3 linked regions of the Notamacropus eugenii genome follow. The protein of the gene in region 3 purifies or fractionates together with the protein of the main gene of each other region. This does not show direct contact. Links are inferred from orthologs where the notes say so. Each region holds a gene or a part of one and is shown on either strand. Other genes may lie near its edges. The genes, in order: ARPC3, ARPC2 and ARPC1A.

Region 1 (7,439 bases), on a different chromosome or scaffold from region 3:
TGACTCCCTCATTTTAGCTCCGACTTAATGGGTCAGAGAGCCGTTTCACTTGTTAGTGCTTATGATATCCCACCTGGCTAGGACAAGTGTTCTCAAAGCTCTACTTCCTCAAATAGGAAAAGGAGATGAACAAAATTGTGATGAGGAAATTACCTTTAACTTCCTCCTATCCTGCTCCTGTTTATGTAAATCACGAGCAGACTAGCTGGAGAAGACTAAAAAGGCCTTTGTCTCCTGTCTGTCTCTCTGGCCTCTCTTGCGTCTACGCTGGAATCCCATACCTAGTAGACTTTTCCAGGTGATTTGGCACTTCTAGGATCTGTGCGTGGGCCCTCTCTACAAGGAACTATGTCTGTCTCAATAGCTGGTCTTTGTCAGTTGCTTTGGCTCCAAAACACTGAATATTTGCCAGATATTAGCTGATTATTAATCGTTACCTGAAATGTCCACCTACAAGTGCCACTGTTGGCACGTTTAAGACATTTAAGAAAAAGTAATTAAACTTTCTCTTTCTTTGTTGAAAGGAATCTGAAGAAGAAAAATCATCCATGTTGGATGATTATTTTCAAGACCGTGGGGATGAATGAAGATATTTAATTTTTCCAGTGTTTATTAAAGCATGAAGAACTTTGTGGGCAGAATCTTATAAAGACTCATGTTTAGCCTCAGGGAGAAGTGGATGGAGAATTCATCTTTCCAAAGCAGAAAGAGTATGGCTAATCCACAATCTGAACATTGCCACTTCTCCTTTCCCCCAGCCTGGCCAAAGAAAAAGAATAGTTTGGAAAATCTCCATTGGCAAATGTTTCCAAATGAAGTCCCAAGTTCTCTAGGGTGTATAGTACTTGTTAAGGGAAGACAAATTCTGGGCTACAGACAAACCCTTGGTGCTGCTGTTTGTTACTTCCATTTTGGGGGAAGGATAGTTTGCATTGTGGTGTACAAGTGGCACAGAGGGAGATATCAGCTTGACTTCAAGAAAGAAAGACTTCCTGACAGCTCGAGCTAACCCCAGATGGCATAGGGCTCCTTGGGAGGTGGCAGTCTGCAGGGCTTCCCCCAAAGGCAGGTCATGAGTGTGATAGAGAGGATTTTTTTTACTGGTTCAGGTTGGGCCAGATGGCCTGAGGGTTCTCCTCCCTCAGAGATTCTTTCCTGTGGTTTCGTTATTGGAAAAATGATTCTGTTCCCCTCTCTCAGAATGGACTGCTTAGAAATTACTTTTATAATAAAAAATAAAATGTTATGTCTGAATTGTCCGTAGCCCTTTCATATTCCAAATTATATTTGGAAGTCCCTCCGCCCTGCCTTTTTGGGCCAGACTTAAGTACCCTGTGCCATTTTCAAATTGACAACTGTGTGTAACTTAACCATGTTAATGAATTTCCTTAGAGGTTAAATGGCTTTCCCAGGGTCACACAGCCACCAAGTGACAGAGGCAGTGTTGGAAGCCAGGTCTTTCTGACTTCTCTGCCCCATGTCATGCTACCTCATCCAAATTCCTACCAAGGGCAGTTTTTGGTATTAGGGATGAACTTGACACACACAAAAGCTATCAAGAAAAATTTATTAAAAACGGAATTCAGAGGAGGGAAGACCTTCTGCGTGCCTTCCCCCGAAGGAAAGGGTAGCTTCCAGCATGGCCGCTGGAAGGACGACGACCAGGTCAGAATGAGGCAGGACACTTATAGAATTCTGAACTTAGTGAAGAAAGTTGAAATGTAGTGATTCCAAAACAATGAAGAATCATCGTCTTGAGGTGGGCCAAGTAAAACATGGCGGACATTGCAGAACATCTAAAAAACTATTTTGATTTTGCTGTTTCATCTCTTTTTTAGACTTCCTTAATCTGGCCAGGCTATCAACTACTCTGGGTCAGGTGTTGTGCTATCCAAGTAAAAACCAGTCCCTGCCCTCAGGGAGCTCACTGGCCAAAGGCTGGCATTCAGGCATGCTGCCCCTTGTAACTTTGTAAGTGGCAGGTCATGTGAAGGAACCTGAAAAATGGATCATTTTGCCCAAGGTCTCTCAGATCTGAGGCCCAAACCCAGGTTCTCTGGCTACAAATCCCATATTCTGTGGCACACTTGCTGCCCCCTGAATTCATAGGCTGGAAATGCAAAGCCTCTCCTAAAATTCCTGCTGAGCCTTTTTCCTGACCTAAGCGTAATGTCTATTAGGCTCATGGTGATAATTGATTTTTGAGTTGCAAGGTGCCTTCAGGGGTCATATAGAGGGCACCTTACCTCATCCACCCATTTTACTATGAGGAGACAAGCCCAGAATGATGGAGTGAATTCAAAGAATTGAATTTCACAATTGGAGAGGACCTTAGTGGCCAATCAACCTTGTCCCAGGTCACATCAGTTGTGCTGGGATCATAAAATTAGAGCCCAGAGGGATATTCATGGCCATGACTTGCCCCGGATTTCACATTTTGGGCAGTATTTGTGTACCTCCCAGAGATCTTTGGGGAGCAGATAGCAATATCTGGAGTCTTCAGTAACATCCTAAGGAGAAAAAATAGATGGTCTGCAGCTTTCTTCTGTGCCCAAGTTACAAGGCAGGGGAGACTGTAGATATTTAAGGACGAGACTATTTTTTCCCTTTTTAAATGCTCTTGTTGCTTAAATGAACACCCACTAGGTAGCCAAATTTAATTTGCATGTTGTTATTCAGTTGTTTCAACTGTGTCTGGTTCGTCATGACCCCATTTGGGGTTTTCTTGGCAAAGATACTGGAGTTGTTTGCCATTTCCTGCTCCAGTTGAGTTTACAGATGAAGAAACTGAGGCTAAATGACTTGCCCAGGGTTACACAGCTAGTAAGTGTCTGAAGCTAAATTTTGAACTCAGGGCTTCCTGGCTCCAGGTCTGGTGCTCTTTCCACTGCTTCATATCCTTATATAATAATATCCTACGTATTTTGTGTCATTCAGATTTTAGGTTTTCTCAGTACCCAAGATAGCATGTTACCTAAATATTTTATCTAACACATTTCAATGATCTATAGTCTCATCAGTCCAGTGACTGGGGCAGTTGTTGGGGCAAAAAGAAAAACCCAGAACACCTAGCTGCCAAGCCAGTGGTGAGTCTCTTGATAACCCTTGAAAATGTACTTAGAGACCATTCCCAGGACCATAATCAAAACCACCCCAGCTTGACAAGGACCTACCAGAGCTTGAGGTCCCCTGGCATAACCTTGAGAGGGTCTTTAGAGGTCACCAAGTCCATTTTCCAGATGAGGAATTGAGTCCAAAGGAGGTAAAATGAATTGCAGAAGGTCACAAAGCTAGTAAGTGAGGTAGCTCTCAAACCCAATTTGGCTTCCCACTAGACTAGGCTGAGACATCAGAGGAGGGTCTTGGGATGATTTCCTCAGGATGTAATCAATGAGGCTTTGATTTTTTTCTTTAAGTCACAAGTCCTAGATTTTTTTCTTCTTATCTGGAATTTTGTTGATGTCAAACTAGTAAAAAAAAAAAAATACAATCCTCTTTGACTTTATCCCAAGGTAATATAATGACCAGTCTATGTCTGGGAGTGTCATGAACCCCTTTGGCAGTATAATGAAACATATAGACACCTCAGAATAATGATTTTAAATAATAGAACATACAATAATACTGAAATATGGTTTTCATAATATTACATAAGTTCACAAACCCCAGGTTAATAACCCCCTGGTCTATTGCATTAAAAGGTTACAGATTTTGACAATTTAGTTTAAATTGCATATTAAACATATTTTTGTTGTGTGTGAATATGAAGTGTTTTGGTTTTTTTCCCTGCTGTCAAGATGCATTGTGCATTTTAAAATAAGCTGAAAAATGCACACCTAGGTTCTGGCTCTTGTGAGTTGAGGACAATTATTAGGATAGTGATTTGGGGGTGAGGCACCCCCACCTCCAAAAATCATGATGAACTGTGGGATGAGATGGGTGGGCCCCTCCCTCCTCATCTGATTTTCCCAATCCTTTCATTTCTTCCATGGCTCTTCCCTCATCCAGCCACATAGAAGCACACTCTTTCCACCCATTTTCCTATGGCCTTTTATCTTGACCTCTTTTCTGCTTCCCAAGACCCCCAAGTGCAGTTTTTAGACTTTTATTCTTTTAAAATATATGTAACTTCTCATTATAAAAATGTTCATATATTGTATTTCTTTATACTCCAGCTGCACTAAGAAATGAAGCCCCAAATACTAAGAAACTTGTGTTCTCCAGCGATGATTTTCTTCAAATAAGAAAATAAAACGCGCATTTTACAGATGAAAAAACTGAGGCCCAGAGGGGTTGGCTAACTGACTTTTGCCCGGGGTCACCCATTCCCTAAGAGGCAGGATTCGAACCCACACCTTCGTTTTCCCCAAGGCCAGCACCACGTGGGGCCAATTTCTTTAAAACAGGGGATGCTTGTGCTCGCCCCGCCCCGCCCCGCCCCGCCCCGCCCCGCCCCGCCCACGGCGTTGTGGTGCGCAGCCTCAGAAGCCACTGCAAGGAGCTCCAAGCCCTGGGCGGGGGGGCCTTCGCGCATGCGCACGGGCAGGCGAGCTCGGCGCCGCAGCTCTAGTTCTTTGGCTCCCTCTAGTGTTCCCGGCGGCCACACCGGAAGCGCGACCTCCTCCCGCCTCTGTCTCTTCCGGATCGCTTCCGGTTAGACCCCACCCGGCCGCTAGACCGGAAGTATCGGGGTCTCTGACAGGAACCAGAATCTTCTGCTCGCCCGAAGCCCAGGCCCGGCCGCCAAGATGCCGGTGAGGCGCGGGGAGAGGCTGAGGCCTTAGAGGGCCCCGGGGGCGGGAGCGACCCCGAGGAGTGCGAGGGGGCCGGCGGAGGAGGCCAGGGTGGGGGTCCGGCCTTGGGGGAGGGAGGCCGGTCTGGTGTGCGGGGGAGGACCTGGCAGCAAAGACCTCTGCGAGGTGGGGAAACTGAGGCACGGGAGCCCCCGAGGCCTTCCTCGTAGGGTAGCCGGCCTGGAGTTGGGGCGAGGAGATCGCCGCCCGGAGCTACCAGGAAACGGAGGCCTCGGAGGGGAGAGCGCGGTGGGTGTGGGATGGAGGCCTGGAACCCCAGCAGCCCCGCCCTTTTATTTGACAGGCGGGGACACTGAGGCCCGGCGAGGGCGGAGGGCCTCATTGGTGGGGGCTTGGAGACCCCCCAGTGCGGCCGCCTCCCTTGGTGGTCACGGTCACAGGTGGATCCTTGAGCCCGGCTCCCTGCTCTGATGGGTGGGAAAACAGGGCTACGAACATTAAAGACCCTTCTGTCCTTTGGGATTAATTGTCTAACTGACTTGGGGCTGGAGCCCAAAGAACGTATATGAACATATATAAAGAACAGGTCCTTCGTGGGACACAGGGAAACTGAGGCACGGGGGAGAGAGCAGCTCCTGGTGGTGATGGAGAGTCAGGGCCAGATGGAGGGATTCTCCCCCCAACCCCTTCCTTTGACAGTTAAAGGTGCTGAGAGGTGCGAGGGTGGCTGCCTCCTCCTGCAGCCAAACCTGGGAGTCCTCGAGTCCACCTTTCTTATTTGACAGATGAGGAAACTGAGGTGCACAGAGCGGGAACTTGGACCTTAGCCGGTCCAGCTTGGCCAGTATAAGGGGGCTGGGGCTGGAGAGGCAAAAGAACTGCCTCTCCTTAATAGAAACACAGAAGAGATTTGGCCAGCCCTCCTGGGGTCAGATGTTTTCATTTCACATAGAAGCGAAGTAACTTCCCCAAAGCCTCACAGAGAGTCGGATGTGAATCAGGAACTTGGACCCAGGCCCTCTGAGAGCAGCTCCAGTGTGCCGTGGGCCCCCCAGCCCCCCTACCTCATACTCTCCCTTCTCGGCTTCTGTATGCCTTTCCTTTTCTTTCCCAGCTCCAGACTCTGGCTGGATGGCGAAGCTCCTCTCAGTGTCTTCTCTCCCTCTTTTTGTCAGATTTCCTCTCGGGCTCCTTCGCTTACCGCACCTACAGCCTCCTTGTCACTCACAGTGGCTGTGAGAGGCCTGTTCCTGAATGACATCTCCTCTTTTTGTAGTGAGTCCAGATTTCCAAAGCTCTTTCCTCCAAGGACTCCAGCACTAGGATTTATAGAGGCAGATTGTACACTTGCATTATAGACTTGCATTAGATGATTAATAGAATCTCCATCACCTCTAAATCCTAATGTCCCTATTTTACAAATGATGTTCAGAGACTCCCAGTGTTGGACTTCAGTGGCTCCCTCTGTAATCCTCCCTCCAGGGCTTTTGAGCTCTGTGATCATTAGAGTCTTTTCCAGCCCTAATAATCTTTGATCCTGTGAAGATGTTTTAACCAGGAAGTATCAGCAACTCTTTCTCTTGGGTGGGTTGTCTTTTTTTCTTCAGTAAGATGCATCATTGACCTGCATACAAAATGTCTAGACCTTTGTGTGAAGAAGATCTGGGGGTTTTATTATCAGTCACCAGGGTGATATAACAGCCCAAAAAACAAATTCTCTTTTAGGCTCTACGGGTAATAAGTAAGTCACAGTGGCTGTGACCCAAGAGAGTCTAGGTCAGCTGAGCTCTGCCCTGCACATTGAGAGCATGGTGTCTATAGTTTAGGAACAACACTGACAAGCTGGAGAGCACCCAGAATAGGGTGACGTGGGTGCCCAGGGAACCTTGTCCTTCAAGGATCAGGGGGAGGAACTGCTAGTGTTCAGCCTGGAGAAGAGCAGGAGGAGGAGGGCTGGTTTCCTTATATGTCTGAGGGACCCTCATGTAGAAGGTCTGAGATTTATTCTGTTTGGCCAAAGAGGTGGAAGTACTGAAGAGGCAGACTTTTTGTCAAGAAAATTTTTCCAACAATTAAAACTCTCCACAGGTTGAGTGGTTCCTTTCAATGGAGAGAGCTGGTGGTGCCACAGTGCCCAGAGTTCAAGGTCTAGAATCAGGAAGACCCAAATTCAAATCCTTCCTCAGACACTTTTGAACTGTGTGACTCTGGGCAAGTCACTTAACCTTTTTCTGCCTCAGTATCCCTAACAGATGAAGAAAATAATAGCACCGATCTCCCAGGATTGTTATGAGGGTCAAAGGAGATATTTGTAAAGCACTTAGCACCTTGACTGGCACACAGTAGGTGGTATATAAATGCTTGTTCCCTTCACCCCACTAGAGGTCACCATCAAAGGCTAGATGATGGAGTGCTAGACATATTTACTTGATGACTTCTGAGTCTCCTTCTCAGGATGAGATTCTATGATTCTATGGTGTTTATCTCCCTGCCCCTTTTGTATTCTTACATGACTGAAATTGCAGGCATACCACTCCTCTCTCATGGATCCCGACACCAAACTCATTGGAAACATGGCACTTTTACCCATTAGGAGTCAATTTAAAGGACCAGCTCCAAGAGAAAGTAAGTCTATATTCTTTTTCTTTCATTTTGTAAAAAGTGGTTTTGTGGAGTGAGGTATCA
Region 2 (7,324 bases), on a different chromosome or scaffold from region 3:
GGCTGATATTTAAAACATGAAACACCTTTGCAACTGCTGAATAGGTATTTCACTCAGATGTATATTGCTTGGCCAGTTCACTCAAGGTGCAAATCTTCTTTTTAGCCTGACATGCATGACTCATCCTTCCGTTGGTGATCCTCTCCTCCAAGAAAGGTATAGCAAATTCCTCTGGGCAACCAGTGCATAGATCTATCAGTGATTCCAGACCTCTTAAGCCCACAAGACAGCTGCCAAAGATGGGAACATCCAACTCTCAGTATCACTGCTTGGTCACCTGGGATCAGGAAAAGAAACAAAGCAGAAGAGGCAGTCAGAGACTTGAGATCCAGTCCTAGGCTCACCCAATCAAGTATATAATCTTGCAGCCATGTTGGTGCAGTCTCCATAGCTGCTGCTAGAGAGGAAGGAGAGACACAAACACACTCAAGCTGTCAGTCTCAATCCACACATTCCCCAAGAATGGAAGAGAGACAGACAGAGAATGAGACACACACACACACACACACACACACACACACACACACGTCTACTGGTTCCCTTTTAAAGTCCAGCACAGAAGGGGAATACCTCCCAGGAGCCCATTATTATTGGGTTTTGCCCAAGTCATAGACTTAATCAGATGTCTGGAGGCTTCTCAAAAAGGTGCCAACTGGCATGTCTGTACCCTCTATAGAATCAGTCAGAAGTTTAGAACAAAAGCTCAATCCCAATAAACTCATCAAGTTGATTCCAGAGGGCCAAGACTAACCCCTACATTTGTAAAATGGGGATAATAAAACCTGTACTACCTACTACCTTTGTTGTTGTGAGAAGTTTCTTGTAAACATTAAAACGTAAATATGAGCAATTATTATTATTCCTAAGTGAGAAGTACTGACTGAATAGCCTGAGGAAAGAGTAGAAAGTCAATCCTGATGACTGGATACTTTGGCCCAGATAACGTAAGTATTCCTGAAGTCCCTAACTCTACCCCACACATTGCCTAACACATAGTAGACATTCAATCATTGTCTGGTGATTTATTTTCATGTAAGCACTCTGGATCTCTGGGTTTCTGCTTTCTCCTCTGTAAAATGATGAGAATGGACTGGACACTTTGGTCCCAGCAGTTACGGTAACCTAAAGTCTCCTTTAGCCATTCTTCATAAGCTCTTGGAGTTTCACTACCTCAGCTATAGAACTTTATTATCAGTTTACAATTGCAAACTCCTTGAGGGCAGAATTAGCTGCATTCCAGAATTCCTTATTACATAAATATTTGTGGAATGAACTCAATGTCTTCAGGCAAGAGGCGTTAAGAGGAGTTGGAATAGGTAGGACAAAATGAGACACAGAGGCTACCGGCAGATTTAACTAGAATTTTGTTTATATTTATATAGCACTCCATTTTACACACAGTGAAACAGGATTTAGCACAAGTTCACAAAGCACACACAAGATTTGAATCCACCAATTCTTCTGAATCCAAGTCTATTACATCAAGCTGATTTGTTCCATGTCACAGAAGCAAAAAGTGGTCTAGCTAGCACATTATGGTGCCTAGGTCTTTTTACTCCAAGTCCAAGTTTCTCCCTACTTCAGGAGTGTCCTTTCTGGGACTGTTTTCACATCTGGAAAACTTGAAGGGTTAAATGATCTCTGAGTTCCTTCCAGCTGTATGCTTCTCTCTAGGGGAGTGGATGCATAACCCACCCATTCAGAATAATTCATTTGACATTTATGATACATTTCTCTACAAAGCACCACACATTTCTGATAAGAGTAGCTGACATAGTTTTTAAAGCATACAGAATACTTAACATGTATTACATTTGATCATGCCATCTGTAAAATCAGCAAAGAGGTATTATTATCCCCTTTAAAATGAGAAAACTGAGGCTCAGAGATATTGAGTCAATTAATAAACCTTTATTAAGCATTTGCTGGGCTTAATTCTCGCTGATACAAAAACAAACAGTCCCTGTGGTCCAAGAGTTTGCATTCTATCAGAGGAGACAACATGCATTGTATAAGTATATACAAGACATATGTAAGGCACATGAGGTAACTAACCTAAGGCACTAGAAGTTAAGGGCACCAGGAAAAGTCTCCTGAAAATGGCACCTGAACTGAGTTTTGAAGGGTGTGCCAAAAGGCAGAGATGAAGAATAGTCTAGGTATGGGGGACAATCAATACAAAAGCAAGGAGACAGAAGGTGGGACAAGCAGAGAGGAAGGGACCATAGTGTGTGTGGAAGGGAATAATATCTAGGAAAACTGGAAAAGCAGGAAGGGGTCCAGTTGAAAAGAGCTTTAAGTCAAACTAAATTCACATTTGATCCACTGGAGTTTGAATGTGTATGGGGGGGAGGGGTGTTACATGATCATATCTGTGGTTTGGAAAAATTCCTATGGTGGCAGATGAAGGACTAAAGTGGGAGGGGCTTGAGGCAAGGAGCTCAGCTAGGTCCATAGTCAAGAACCTAGTAACCCAGTTATGCTTCTAATACACCATAATGTTTCCTTCCATGTCTCTTTACATATATATACGTTCCTTATATATTATGTTCCCTTAATGTTTTGATACACGAAAAGTCTCCCCTGTCTTGTCACAATCAACTGCACATGGTAAGCCAAAATCACAGGATTTCAGGCTGGAAGAAGTCTTAAGGGAACATCTAATCCTATTCCCTTGAAGTCCCTGTGAGGCTGTGCAGGACCAGAATGCAGGCCTTTGTTTCTGCATCCAGTACTTTTCCCAATCCTCTTTCTGGTCATTCCTTGGTCCCTTCCCTCAAGGATCTCATAGACCTAGCAGAAGTATAAGACTCAAGTTCAGGATACCTTACACAGCACATCCTATATGATGCAATTCTAATACAGGGACTTTCTGCAAAAGGTGGAAAATGTGTCATGAGGTCTAGGAAGAGAATCAAGGAAGACTCCCTGCGCACTCTGATACCTTTTGGTAAAAAAAAAAAAAAAAAAGGCATTAGCAGGCTGTGACTTCTGAAGAAGGCATTAGATACTAATTAATACTAAATCCTTAATACTAAAGACTAGTAATCCCTTCATTTTATCTATCCCCCACCCACCCACCCATCCATCCATCCATTCATCCATCCATCCATCCACTTCCCCCACCCTCCCACCCATCCACCCAACCATTCACCCACCCATCCATACACCCACCCCCCCATCCATCCCATCCATCCATCCACCCCTCCACCCCCCCATCCATCCCATCCATCCATCCACCCCCCCCATCCATCCCATCCATCCATCCACCCACCCATCCATCCATTCATCCACCCATCCATGCACCTACCATCCACCCATCCATCTATCCATCCATCCACCCATCCATCCATCCACCCACCCATCCACCCCCCCATCCCCCCATCCATCCATCCACCCACCCATCCATCCCCCCATCCATCCATCCATCCCCCCATCCCCCCATCCACCCCCCCATCCCCCCACCCATCCATCCATCCATCTTTGTACACAAAGAGAGGGGGAGAGAGAGAAGGAAGCCACGTAGGGCGGGGGCCAGGGCACCCGAACTCCAGTTAGGAAGACCCAAGTTAAAATCTAGGCCCGTGTGACCCTGGGAAAATCAGCTCTCACGCTGCGCTCGCCTCAGTTTCCCCATCTGTAAAACGGGGATGATCCCAGCAGCTGCCACCGGGGATCAGAGGATATTTGTGAAGCTCCCGGGGCGCAGTAAGCGAGCTTTTCCTGTGAAGAGGAAGAGAGGCCTATTTGTATTAGAGACCGCGTTTTACACGCCTCTCGCTGGAAGCCGGCGGCGGCCAGCCCAGGGTCAGGGAAGGCTGGAGCTCGGCTCTCTCTTCCAGCCTCCAGGCCGGGAGATCGGGGCGCTGGTCACCCGGCGGCCTGGCCGGAGGGGAGGCCCAAGGTCCGCCGCGGCACGGGGCCGCTCCGGCTCTTCCCGCATGGGTTCCCCGGGCCGGCGGGCGGCTAAGCCGCCGCCCCGGAAGAAGGAACCGGAGAGCGCGCGGAGGCGGCGCTCCGCAATGACAGTTGGAAGGGCGGGGGCGGCCCCGAGGCACGGTGGGAAAGTGGAGGCGTGCGTGCGTGCGTGCGCGCCTCCGAGCAGGCCGCGGAGGGTGGTGCTGGCGGGCGTGGCCCGCGCGCGCCAGGCTTGGGCGTAGCGGGGCGGAGACCAGCCGGCTCGAGCCACCGGTGCGTGCACCCGCCCGCTCCCGGAGGCTGGCAGAGAGCGGGGGGGGGGGGGGGGGGGGGGGGGGGGCGGAGGGGATGGGGGGAAGAAGAGCGGAAATAGAGCCACGGGGGCGCGCGCCGCGGCGGCGAGCGGAAGTGGGTGTGAGAGCGGAAGTGTCCGGCTAGAGCCGGGGCTGGGCGGGGACCGGGGGCGCTCGGTGAGACGGCGGCAGCGGCAGCGGCACCGGCGGCTGCTCGGCGGGCGGGTGCGGGCCAGGTCGCCGAGGCGGGAGGACAGGGGAGAAGGGCCGGAGCCGCTGCGCGTGTGTGGAGGCGTGCACCCTGCCCCCTCCCCCCTAGCCCCGCTCCCTCTCCCTACCTCCCGGGTCGGGGGGCAGCCTCGCTGCTCCCTCCTCCCCCCCTCACCCGCCCTTTCTCCTTCCCCGGCCCGGGGCAGCCCCCTCAGCCGCTGCCGCCATGATCCTGCTGGAGGTGAACAACCGCATCATCGAGGAGACGCTCGCGCTCAAGTTCGAGAACGCGGCCGCCGGGTGGGTGAGCGCGCCGGGGGGGCCCCGGGGTCGGGAAGCCCCGCCGGGAGGGGCGGGAGGCGCGCCGGGTGCGGTGGGGGAGGGGGAGCAGCGACCCCGTCCCGGTTCTGGGGGAGGGGTTGCGGGAGGACCCGGGGGACCCCCAGCGCTCCCTCCCGGGGCAGCCCTGCCGCCGGCTCCACTTTGCCGTGGGCAGGCAAACCTGCCGCTGCCGCCCACCCGCACGCCCCGCACGCCCCCGGCCTTGTCTCTCTCTGAGGTTCTGCCCCTTCCCCCCCCAGCGCCTTCGTCTGGTGATGTCTCTCCTTAGAGCCTGCTAGACCCCGGCCCGCCCGGCCTACACTCTCCCCCGCTCTGGTCACGTTACTAGGTGACATTCCTCCCCTTTGGACCTTTTAAAGTGGGGCTTGTCCTGTAGGCGTCTGGTAAACGTGGGGTGGATAGCATCTCTCCAAGGCAGGCACTTCTGAGAAGCCGCCGATGGCAGGAAGCTACCCCCCCCCCCCCACGAGAGAAATCAGGTTGCTCTTAATATTTAGAGCATCTGGCCAGGGAATTGGGTTCTAATCCTGTGTGACCTGTAGCATCTGTCTTTGCGGACCTGTGTCCTCGGCTGTGCGACTCGTTATCTGTTTTATGGAGGAAAAAATGGGCAAAGAAATCCCCTTAGGGACTTAAGGACTAAAAATGTCAGGTTTGAGATTCACGGAAGAAATGCAGTCGGGAGATAGAAGCAGTTTAAAATAAGCTAATTCGAGAAGGAATGAAAAGAAGTATTTTCAACCCCTTGTTTCAGTCTAGTATACTATGCACGGTAGTTTGTCCATACAGCGAGCCCGTATGTTTTATCGTTATAAAGCACAGCATCTATTTTGTGGTTGTTGAAGTGATACATAAAATGAATATATGTGCCTCTGAAGGAAATTCTTCGGTTTAATTATCAGATGGTTAGTTTCATGCCTTCAGTTTTCCCTTATAAGCCGGTTTTGCATTTAAAAGTTGTAAGCGAATCAGCTCCAGTTCTTATTTGGGTGACTGTTGTACCTTGAGCAGTCTAGCATATAGAAGGAAGTTGAATTAACTTCTGCATTTTTACAGCTGATCTTAATGCCATCAGGTCTTGACAGGCTTGAAGCTGAAGCAGGTTGGTTATGTGTAGATGTGTGTGATGTGTGTGTGTGTTCGTTCAAGCAGGGGCATGTCTTGTGGTGAAGGAATGCATTTACTTCTAATTACGTTTTAATTTATGATTGAACCATTCCATTATTCAGATTTTAGCTTTTTATTTTTCTCTTAAAACTACTGCTACAAATGGCAGGTGGTTGTTTCAGAGGGACCAAAACAAATTGGGAATACATTAAGTAGGTAACTAAGCATTGATCACAAAGATGAGGTGTAGCACAACATAAGTTGACTTTTATTGAGCAATATGACTTAGGACAAATGGGGTGTGGAAGGCAGCCAGGATCAAAACTGGTAAGATTCTGCTGAAATGTTTAGTGAAAATGATGGAAAAAATGATGGATAAAAAAGAAGTGTATCCTCAGGCCTCCTAGGATATAGGTTCTCTGAGATTGCCAAGGCAAGCACCTCCCAAATAGCACCTCAGACCTACTGTGCATTACCAGACATACTAGTGGAGTGAGATGACATGAAACAGTAGAGTGGTTACTCTGACTTACGTCTTACCAGAACTTCCAGCAAAGACTGCCGCCTATAATTGCCATAAACGTTTATATTGTTCTAGCAGTGCTTTTAACCACAGGCAGGACAGAAAAGAGACATGTTGTGGGGAAAGAACTCCTAGACAAAATTACAAGAGTTTGGAAGGATGGTCTTTTGAAGTGCAAGGTCAGAGAAAAACACCTAGAAAACTACAGGTTGGGATTCTTCTTACTGTTTATGGGGAACTCCTGATTCATAGCCCTTTCCAAAGTGTGAATCTTGTATTTGGACTATTTAAACACAAGAAACACCAGAAGAACTCTTAGAAATTCTTATTCAAAATTCAGTTATCCTAATTTTCCCTTTTTGTGAATCATTTTTCAGGTCACCCAGTGCTTATTATAATGATCTCAGAAAATATCTGAATTCTCATCTCTTAGAGCACTGTTATCACACAGTTTAAATGAACACATTTGAGTAGTAGAAATTTTTTAATTTGGAGGTCATGCAAATAAAGCCCAACATTCACTCCAACCAATTTACCTTTCATTATTATTAATTTTGTGGATATTGGCATATTAGAGGCAACCAAATTTCTTCCCCAAATAGCACACTTTTATCTGTAAGTGGTCATCTTCTTGATAGCCTTTAAACTAAGATGACATGACTGGCTAGAAAGTTACAGCCAAATTATTGTGAATATCCATGAAAATTAGCATAGATTTTTTCATCGCCTTTCCCTCTACTATTCTGGATGTTGGGTAAATGGCATTTTTCAGGTCATATCTTCCCATCCTATCAAGCAGGATTGCCCTACTTTTGGAGAGCATCCTTTGCATGCAGGAAGGGCTTCCAACCCAAGTAGAGATTACACAGCAAATATTTGTCTATTCATCGTTATATATACCATGAGAATCTTTTAAGACTGAAAAGTCTGG
Region 3 (8,036 bases):
ATACACATGTATATAGATATACACCTATAGGATTATGCATATATTATATGTGTATATATACACACAAACACATATACACATATACATGTATGCATACGTGCATACATATATGTGAGTGAAAACCTGGGCTTCCCTGGGCATGTCTACTTCTCCCAACATGAAGATGACCTTTTGAGCGTGCCCAGTTTGCCTAATATGGAGGCCTTTCCATCCTTTACCATGTGAGTGGGGGTAGTCTACTTTGAATGGCTGCCTATGATGAGACTGATGAGACTGAATATTAGCTCTCTTTTCAGTGTCTCTAGAGGGTGAAGATCCTAGCTCACCCACAGCAAACCAGAAATGGACCGGGGGTTGTGTGTTTCTGTTCTGCCTTGCTTGTCCTCCTGAAATTTAGTTGTTGCAGGTAATCCACACGGAACCTCGGAGTTCAAGCTTTGGTCACCTTAGAGCCAGGACTGCAGTCAAGATGGTTTAGCCTGCATAAAAGTCCTAGGGCACAAACCAGAGAGGGGTTTTGGATTTAGAACTGGGACTGTGCTGTATAAGACCTGAGCTAAACTATAAATCTAATCCCTTTCCTCTCCCCAGTGACTGAGATGGTATAAAGGGGTATAGGGGATTATGCCTCCCACACATTGGGGGAGGAAGTTTGTATATTTGTGATTATACCTTTTCAAGGCAAATCTTCCTATGTAAAAGCTAATTTACTGTCAGTGGATAAATGGAACTGGGATGCTGGGGACCACTCCCCTATAATTGAGGGAACAACATCAGAAAGGGTTGGAATCATTTGCAGAGAGCCTAGATACCCTCCCACCCCCAATCTCCTTAAGGGTATGGGAAAACCTGGGGGAGAAGTGAAATGTAATTTACCTGGTCTTCAGGCAGTGGGGACCAGGTGGTATGTTATCTGTCTCCATCTTTCTACCTCTCTTTCTCTCTTCCCCCCTTCTCTCTCTTTCTCACACACAATCACATACACACAGTATGTATGTATATACACACACATATATGTGTGCATATATAAGGTGCAATGTTTTTTATCTCTCTAGTGTGTGTATATGTATATGTGTGTGTATGTCATGCTACATTTACTATATACCATGAAGTATGTATGTCATATAGTACATATACTATGTACATACTGCATGTGTATATACATATACTATGTATACAGTACATATACAATATATACTTAGTATATATAGATGTGTATGTGTGTATATTATACATCCATATGCTGCATTTTTTGTGTCTCACTGTAATACAAATACAATACTCGTAGCCGCTGCTATGAATATGCATGTGTATTTCAAGGGTAAATTCACAAAATATAATAAACTCTCTTCCTCAAAGGCAAAACCAAAATATTTATTTGGGACATCATTAGAATACCAGGAGGTAAGATTTAACAGGGTGCTTATCACTAATCCAGGAAGCTCAGACATCTTAAACCTTCTTTCTGTCAGGCCTCCCCACAAAAACAAGTTCCCCTAGACAAATTCCTCCCTCTGCCCACTCATCACTTGCTTCTGTCTTTCTGCTCCTTGGGTCAACTGCTCCATTCAGCTTGTTTCTCTCTCTCTGCTCTGCCTGATCTTTGTCTCTGCTCATTCTCCTCTCTCTCTCTCTCTCTCTCTCTCTCTCTCTCTTTCTCTCTCTCTCTCTCTCTGTTTCTATCCACTCAGGCAAGCTCCTCCCAGTCTGAGCTTGATGTGACCCAGACCTACTGTGCACACAGTAGGGCTCCATGTGTTAGGCTTATTAATGGGCAAGGAAATTCTTCCTATTCTATTAACATTACACTCACATACACATATACGTACATATACATTAAAAATCCACATAAACAAAAACTCTTGGTAGAGGAAGGGTTCTCAATTATTTTTAAGAGTATATGGGACAGCCAGGTGGTGAAGTGCCCTGGAATCAAATCAGGATCAAGATGGCTTTGGAGTCAGGAGGACCTGAGTTAAAATCTGACCTTAGATACTTACTAGCTATGTGATCCTGGGCAAGTCACTTAACCCCAACTGCCTCAAAAAAAAAAAAAAAAAGAGAGAGAGTTTAAAGGGAACATGAGACCAAAAAGTTTGAGAACCACTAGTGAAGTGCAAAAAACCATCAAACTTAGTCTGGGAACCTAAATTCAATACTTGGCTCAGCCACTCGCTACCTGTGTGATCTTTGGGCAATCACTTCCTTCTTGGGTCTCAGTCTCTTTATTTGTAAAGAAGGCTGTACTAGTCAATCTCTAAATAATTTCCCAGTCTGTATTCTATTTAATTTCCCCTATATATACTCAATACTTCAGTTATCAGGACTGATGAATAAAATAAATATCGGGTAAGGAAGAGTGATCCAAAGTATTCTAGGAAAATATCATAGAATGCCAGAATTTGACTCATTTGATCCTCACAACAACCTTGTGAGGGGAAGTACTATTATTATCCCTAAATTAGAAGATGACACTTAGATTTGCCCAGCATCTGAAGCTAAGGTTTAAGGCAAGATTTGAATCCAGGTCTTTTTGACTCCAAGTCCCAGGCTGTACCACCTAGTGGCTCCAAACCAGTGGTCATCTTGCCTCTGTTTGAAAATCTCTAGGGAAGGGGAACCAATTACTTTATAAGGCAGCCCATCTAATTGCTAGCAAGATTTTCCCAAGGTCCAACCTGTATTGTCCTCTTTTCACTACCAACTACTGCTTCTGGTCTGGTCCTCTAGGGCCAAACTGAAAAGTCTACCCTCTTAGCCATGACAGCTTTTCAAATACTTAAAAATAGCTACCATGACCTCACTGAGTCTTTTTCTCCAGGACATACATCTTCAGATCCTTTACAGACTCAAAACCCTTCACCATCCTAAATGCTCTCCAGTTGATCAATATCCTTTTTAAGCTTCTGTTGCTCAGAACACAGTAGTCCAGATGAGGAAATATACAGAGAGAGTATCATCTCCTTATTCCCGGAGGCTGTGTCTCTCTTAATACAGTTCAAAACTGCTTTAGCTGTCCACACTGGTGAAGCATGTGGAATTTGTGGTTCCTTAAAACCGACAGGGCAGCTAGGTGGCGCCATAGGGCCTGGAGTCAGGAAGACTCATCTTCGGAGTTCAAGTCTATCCTCACAACAGCTGTGTAATCCTGGGCAAGTCACTTAACTCTGTTTGTCTCAGTATCCTCATCTGTCAAATGAGCTGGAGAACTGCTAGACCTATTTGTAAAAAAAAAAATATTTATAGCAAATGTTTTTCATTGTGGCTAAGAATTGGAAACCAAGTTATGCCCATCAAATAGGGGAATGGTTAAACAAGCTGTGGCATGTGGGTGTAATGGAATATTATTATGCTGTAAGAAATGACAAGTAGGATAGTTTCAGAAAAACCTGGAAAGACTTACATGAACTGATGCTGAGTGACATGAGCAGAACCAGAACACTGTACACAGTAACAGCTACGTACAGTGTAGGAGGACTGTTTCTGGTAGACCCAGCCCTTCACAGCAATGCAAGGAACTAAAACATTCCCAAAGGACTTGAGGCAAAATGCCATCCACATACAGAGAAAGAACTATGGAACTGAAACGCAGAATGAAGTAGAATATTTTCTCTTGTGTTATGTTTGTTTTGGTTTGTTTTTTCTCATGGTTTCTCCCATTTATTTTAATTCTTCTAGGCAACATGACTAATGTGAAAATGTATTTAATAAGAATGTATGTGTAGAACCCATATAAGATTGCATGCCAACTCAGGAAGGGAGGGGGAAGGGAAGGCAAGAAAATGTAAGATTTATGAAAGTGATTGTAGAAAACTGAAAACAAATTAATTCTAAAAAAAGAAAAAGAAAAACTGGGAGTGATTTAGCTATTTTCAGCTATACAATGATCCAAGACAATTCCAAAGGACTAATGATAAAGCATACTATCTGTCTCCAGAGAAAGAACTGATATTAACTGAATAAAGACTAAAATATGCTATTTTTCAATTTTTCTTTCATTTTTTTCTTTTATTCGAGTCTTCTTGTACAAAATCACTAATATGGAAGCGTTTTACATAATTGCATATGTATAACCTAAAAAAAAAAAATTAGCTGGAGAAGGATATGGCAAACCACTCCAGTATTTTTGCTACAAAAATCCCAAATGGGGTCACACCAAGAGTGGGACATGACTGAACAATAATACAACCTATCTTTTTCCGACCAATTGCTCCCTAATCAAACGTCCTCCTACAACTTCCTAGGGCCTCAGTTATTTTACCTTTAAGACAGAAATAACATTTGTACCATCCACCTCATAGGGTAGTTGTGCTGGGTAAAGCACAACTTTATTATTTTTATGTATTGTGTGCAGGCGAGTTTTTTGAACCCAAAGTCTTAAGAATTTACATCTATTCCTACCAAATTCTATTTTAGTAGATTCAGCTCACTTCTCTCAGCCTGGATCTTTCTGGGTTCCGACTGGGTCAGCTGGGAGCGGGTTGGGATTCAGGGAGTTTTTGAGGAACCGAAGGTAATCCAGGTGGCTTGGATATTAAAATGCCAAAAAGATGGGTGGGACTCAGACCGGGGAGGGCCGTGAAGCTCCGGCTTAAGGAAATCTGGACTTCATGCCACTGCGATGAGCCACTAAGTGCCACGGGCAGATCTGCGCCTGGAAGGTTCCCCTGGCAGCGCTCTGAGCCTTCTCACTGTGCCCACACTGGGGCTTGGCTGGAGGAATGAATGAACCGACGGATGAATGACGGGCACGTCCGGCCCCTGAGCTTCGGGGTGTGACGGAGATGGGAGCCTCCGGCATTCCTCCCCTCCCAGCAGGAAGCCCCTCCACTTCTGCATCGCCTCCGGGAGGGGTCTACCATGAGGGAGGAGGGTCAGTGCAGCAAGCGCCGCCACTGCACATGCGCCAGGCACCGACTTTCCCAGCCCCAGCTCGATCGCCCCCCGCGCCCAGGGCCGTACACCTCCCCTCCCCCTCCCTGGACTCCCGCGATCTGCGCAGACCATCTGCGCAGCCGATCTGCGCAGCCTTGGAGGGGCGGGGAAGCCGTGCGGCGCAGGCGCCGTGCCCATTTCCGGGATCCCTGTCAGCCGCTCCCTCCCGGCCTCCGTCTTCCTCCCGCCGCCTGCCGGAGCTCATTCGCGTCGACTGACCAGAGTCCGCGAATCCTCCGCTCCGGGGCCCGCCCGCACCCTCCCCAGCCCAGGTAAGGGATGGCGATCAGCTGCTCATCTCCTCCCCTCGGCCCTTTTCCCAGCCTTCGGTTCCCCGGGACCCGGCTTAGGCCGCGGGGGGCGGGCAGACCCCGACCGCCGGCGGCTGAGGAGGTGGGGCGCCCCGGGGGTGGGGGGAGGTGGGCGGGCCGTTGTCTCTTTCCCGCCCCTCTCCCCCGGGCCTGACCCTCTGAGGCTTCGGGCGGTGAACCCCCTCTCCCTCCCCGTTCACTCTGGAGGTGTTCGCCCTGCTTGGGCTCCTGGAGCGGGTGCCCCCGAATACCCCTCCCCCCCACACCTCGTGCCCCGTTCCTCTCCCGGCATCCTCTTGGTTCTTTAGCCCCCCGGGTCCGGTGGGTCCCTATCTCCAAGCCCGAGGCCGAACCTTAGCCCCCCTCTCCCCACCTCTGCTGAGGCTGAGACTGGGCGTCGGTCGACTGGCCTCCTTCACCTGCCTCGCCCGTCCCGGGGTTGCAGGCGTGTCCTCGCTTCCTGCTGTGGGGAGAAGCCAGTGGAGAGTTACCCCCAGGGATCGGGTTCGCTTCCAGTCCCCTTCACTACCCTCACCTCGGGGCAGCCACCAGTCAGATCCTTGGGCACTTTAATTGAGCCAGTCAGAACTGAGGGACAGGGTGACCATGATCGTGATCATGCTGGCTGTTGTACCTGTGGGGTGGTAGAGACAAAAAGGAGTTTAAAAGCGTATCCCTGTTGAGACAGAGTGGGAGTTCCATCCGGTCTCTGTCATTGTGGGGGGCCAACGATATTGAAACACCTGTACCTAGATGGGTCAGAGAGAGCATTTAGACTAAGGATGAATCAGTTATAAGCCAGCCGGAGAGCTGAAATATTTTTCCCAAACTGAATTATCCCAGAACTGTAGACGTTAAGGATTATTACATTTTTAGATAGGAAAGCAAATGAGGTTAAAAGCTCCTGTCCTGGGCATTCTATTGAGAGGTGATGTATAGAAATCTGTGTTTCAAAATATCTTTTTTAGATCTGTTGCATGAGTATATGATAAATTCTGCTAATAGACATTAAGTATCTACTCCATATGAGGGGCTGGGGATACAAAGAAAAGTTATCCTCCAGGACTTTGTATTTTACTGTTTTGATACAGCAGGTACACAGATAAACAAATTCAAGGGAAATGAGGGGTCAGGGAAGACTTCATAGAAGAGGTGGTACCTAATTTGAGTCTTGAAGCAAAACACATTTTAAAGTAGAGTTGAGGAGGGAGTCCATTCTAGGCATCAGATTTTACAAATATTGTTTCATATTTCCATATCTGAATGACACTTTTCTTAAAGCAAACTGTATATATAAGAAAAAGAATTTTTATTTCGACCTACTTATATTCTTTCACCAACTAAAGAAGCATATTGTACGATCTGGGATCATAGATTTAGAGCAAGAATGTTCCTCAGAAATTCTCTAGTCTGAACTGCTGGTTTTACTGATGAAGAAACAGACTCAGAGAGGTAAAGTTTATTGATAAATTTTACAAAGGCCTTGAAGGTTTCTTCTTGAGTGCAGTGACCATACCTTATAATTCTTTGGTTCTGTGTTGGCATCTGGACTGTTTCTTCCTCTGCATCCCACACATCAAGGTCAAGGAGTTGGTATGGAAATATCAAAACCCATCTATATATAATTTAGTGGGTAGCTCTTAGAAAGTTGCCTGAAGCTTAGGCAAATTAGATGATATTAAAGCTAGAAGTCCTCCAACTTCAAGTCCAGCATTCTTTGGACTGTTTTACACTGCCTTATAGCAGGTGCTTAATGAATGTGGGTTGAATTTTTTGTTGAAATTTTTATGATGCTTGGTTTAGAGCTGATGTTGAGTAAGTGGTTGTTGAATTGAGTAGGCTCTCCTTTGTTCTTCCCAATTTTCTTCTCCCCTGCCATTTTCTTAGAGAAATATGGAGAAAAATGAGTTTTAAAATCAGGCGAGGGTGACTGTAATTCAGAAATTATAGCTTGGGAGCTGAGGACTGCACAAAGGCAGTGTGCTGGTTTGTTGGGTGCCCCCGCAGAGATAGCATTTGAGGATAAAGTTCTGGGTGTGGAATCAGGGAGTCCTGGGTTTGAGTCCCCATTCAGATATCTATTAGTTGTATGACTAGCTTCTCTGAGCCTCATTTTCCTCATCTGTAAAACAAGCAGTTTGAACTCAGTGGCCTGGGAAGTCCTTTCCAGCTCTAAATCTAAGATCTGTGTGATGAATGTCAGTTAATAATAAAAATAAAAGCTATAAATGGTGCTTTTCAGCATAATTACTATCTTGGGTGGTGGCTAGTATAAATATTATCCTCCTCCTAAAGCTGGGATAACTGAGACCCAAGGATGTTGTTACTCAAAAGCTCAAGTTTGAACCCAGGTTTCTGATTTAAGGGTCCTGTGCTCTTTGCAGCGTAATATTCACCTATAGAGATTGTCAGATATGGGAATTTTCTTGGTCTGCAGTCTTAAAATGAAGTACCAGGCATGAAAGTGTGTCCAGATTTGGAACTTGGGTAATGTGGCTCAATTAGAAATTAACTTAAAATTATGCCATTATTTGAATTTTACTTCTTTGGAAAATTACTGTAGCCTGGTTACACAAATAAGTCAAAGTTTTTGTCTTTGCAACTGTTGTTTATGACCATACGTGAAATATACACTTTTTATTATTGGCATGCACTTTAAAATACTAAATTTCAGTCTTATTTATAATCTTTATATGTCAGCTATTATTTCTCCCATTGAACATAAGCTTCTTGGGTGCAGGGAATATTTTGTTTTATGTCTTTGTATCCCAGGTTCCTGGAACATTGCCT

What was found.
Region 1: the proteins of ARPC1A (region 3) and ARPC3 purify together in Homo sapiens (affinity purification with mass spectrometry; 8 studies listed by BioGRID and IntAct, counting the BioPlex papers as one, with this or other methods). This does not show direct contact. The link is inferred for Notamacropus eugenii from reciprocal best matches to the Homo sapiens genes ARPC1A and ARPC3.
Region 2: the proteins of ARPC1A (region 3) and ARPC2 purify together in Homo sapiens (affinity purification with mass spectrometry; 8 studies listed by BioGRID and IntAct, counting the BioPlex papers as one, with this or other methods). This does not show direct contact. The link is inferred for Notamacropus eugenii from reciprocal best matches to the Homo sapiens genes ARPC1A and ARPC2.

What each region holds. Positions count from the first base shown.
Region 1 is NC_092875.1:35,944,411-35,951,849, forward strand, and holds the start of ARPC3 (actin-related protein 2/3 complex subunit 3), read left to right. Parts: upstream 1-4,436; 5' UTR 4,437-4,748; coding exon 4,749-4,754; intron 4,755-7,279; coding exon 7,280-7,379; intron 7,380-7,439. Other genes in the region: GPN3 (GPN-loop GTPase 3), read left to right, coding at 525-587. UniProt on the Homo sapiens protein: Component of the Arp2/3 complex, a multiprotein complex that mediates actin polymerization upon stimulation by nucleation-promoting factor (NPF).
Region 2 is NC_092877.1:316,739,421-316,746,744, forward strand, and holds the start of ARPC2 (actin-related protein 2/3 complex subunit 2), read left to right. Parts: upstream 1-4,297; 5' UTR 4,298-4,647; coding exon 4,648-4,721; intron 4,722-5,002; exon of another isoform or gene 5,003-5,091; intron 5,092-7,324. UniProt on the Homo sapiens protein: Actin-binding component of the Arp2/3 complex, a multiprotein complex that mediates actin polymerization upon stimulation by nucleation-promoting factor (NPF).
Region 3 is NC_092874.1:379,957,520-379,965,555, reverse strand, and holds the start of ARPC1A (actin-related protein 2/3 complex subunit 1A), read left to right. Parts: upstream 1-5,032; 5' UTR 5,033-5,207; intron 5,208-8,036. UniProt on the Homo sapiens protein: Probably functions as a component of the Arp2/3 complex which is involved in regulation of actin polymerization and together with an activating nucleation-promoting factor (NPF) mediates the formation of branched actin networks.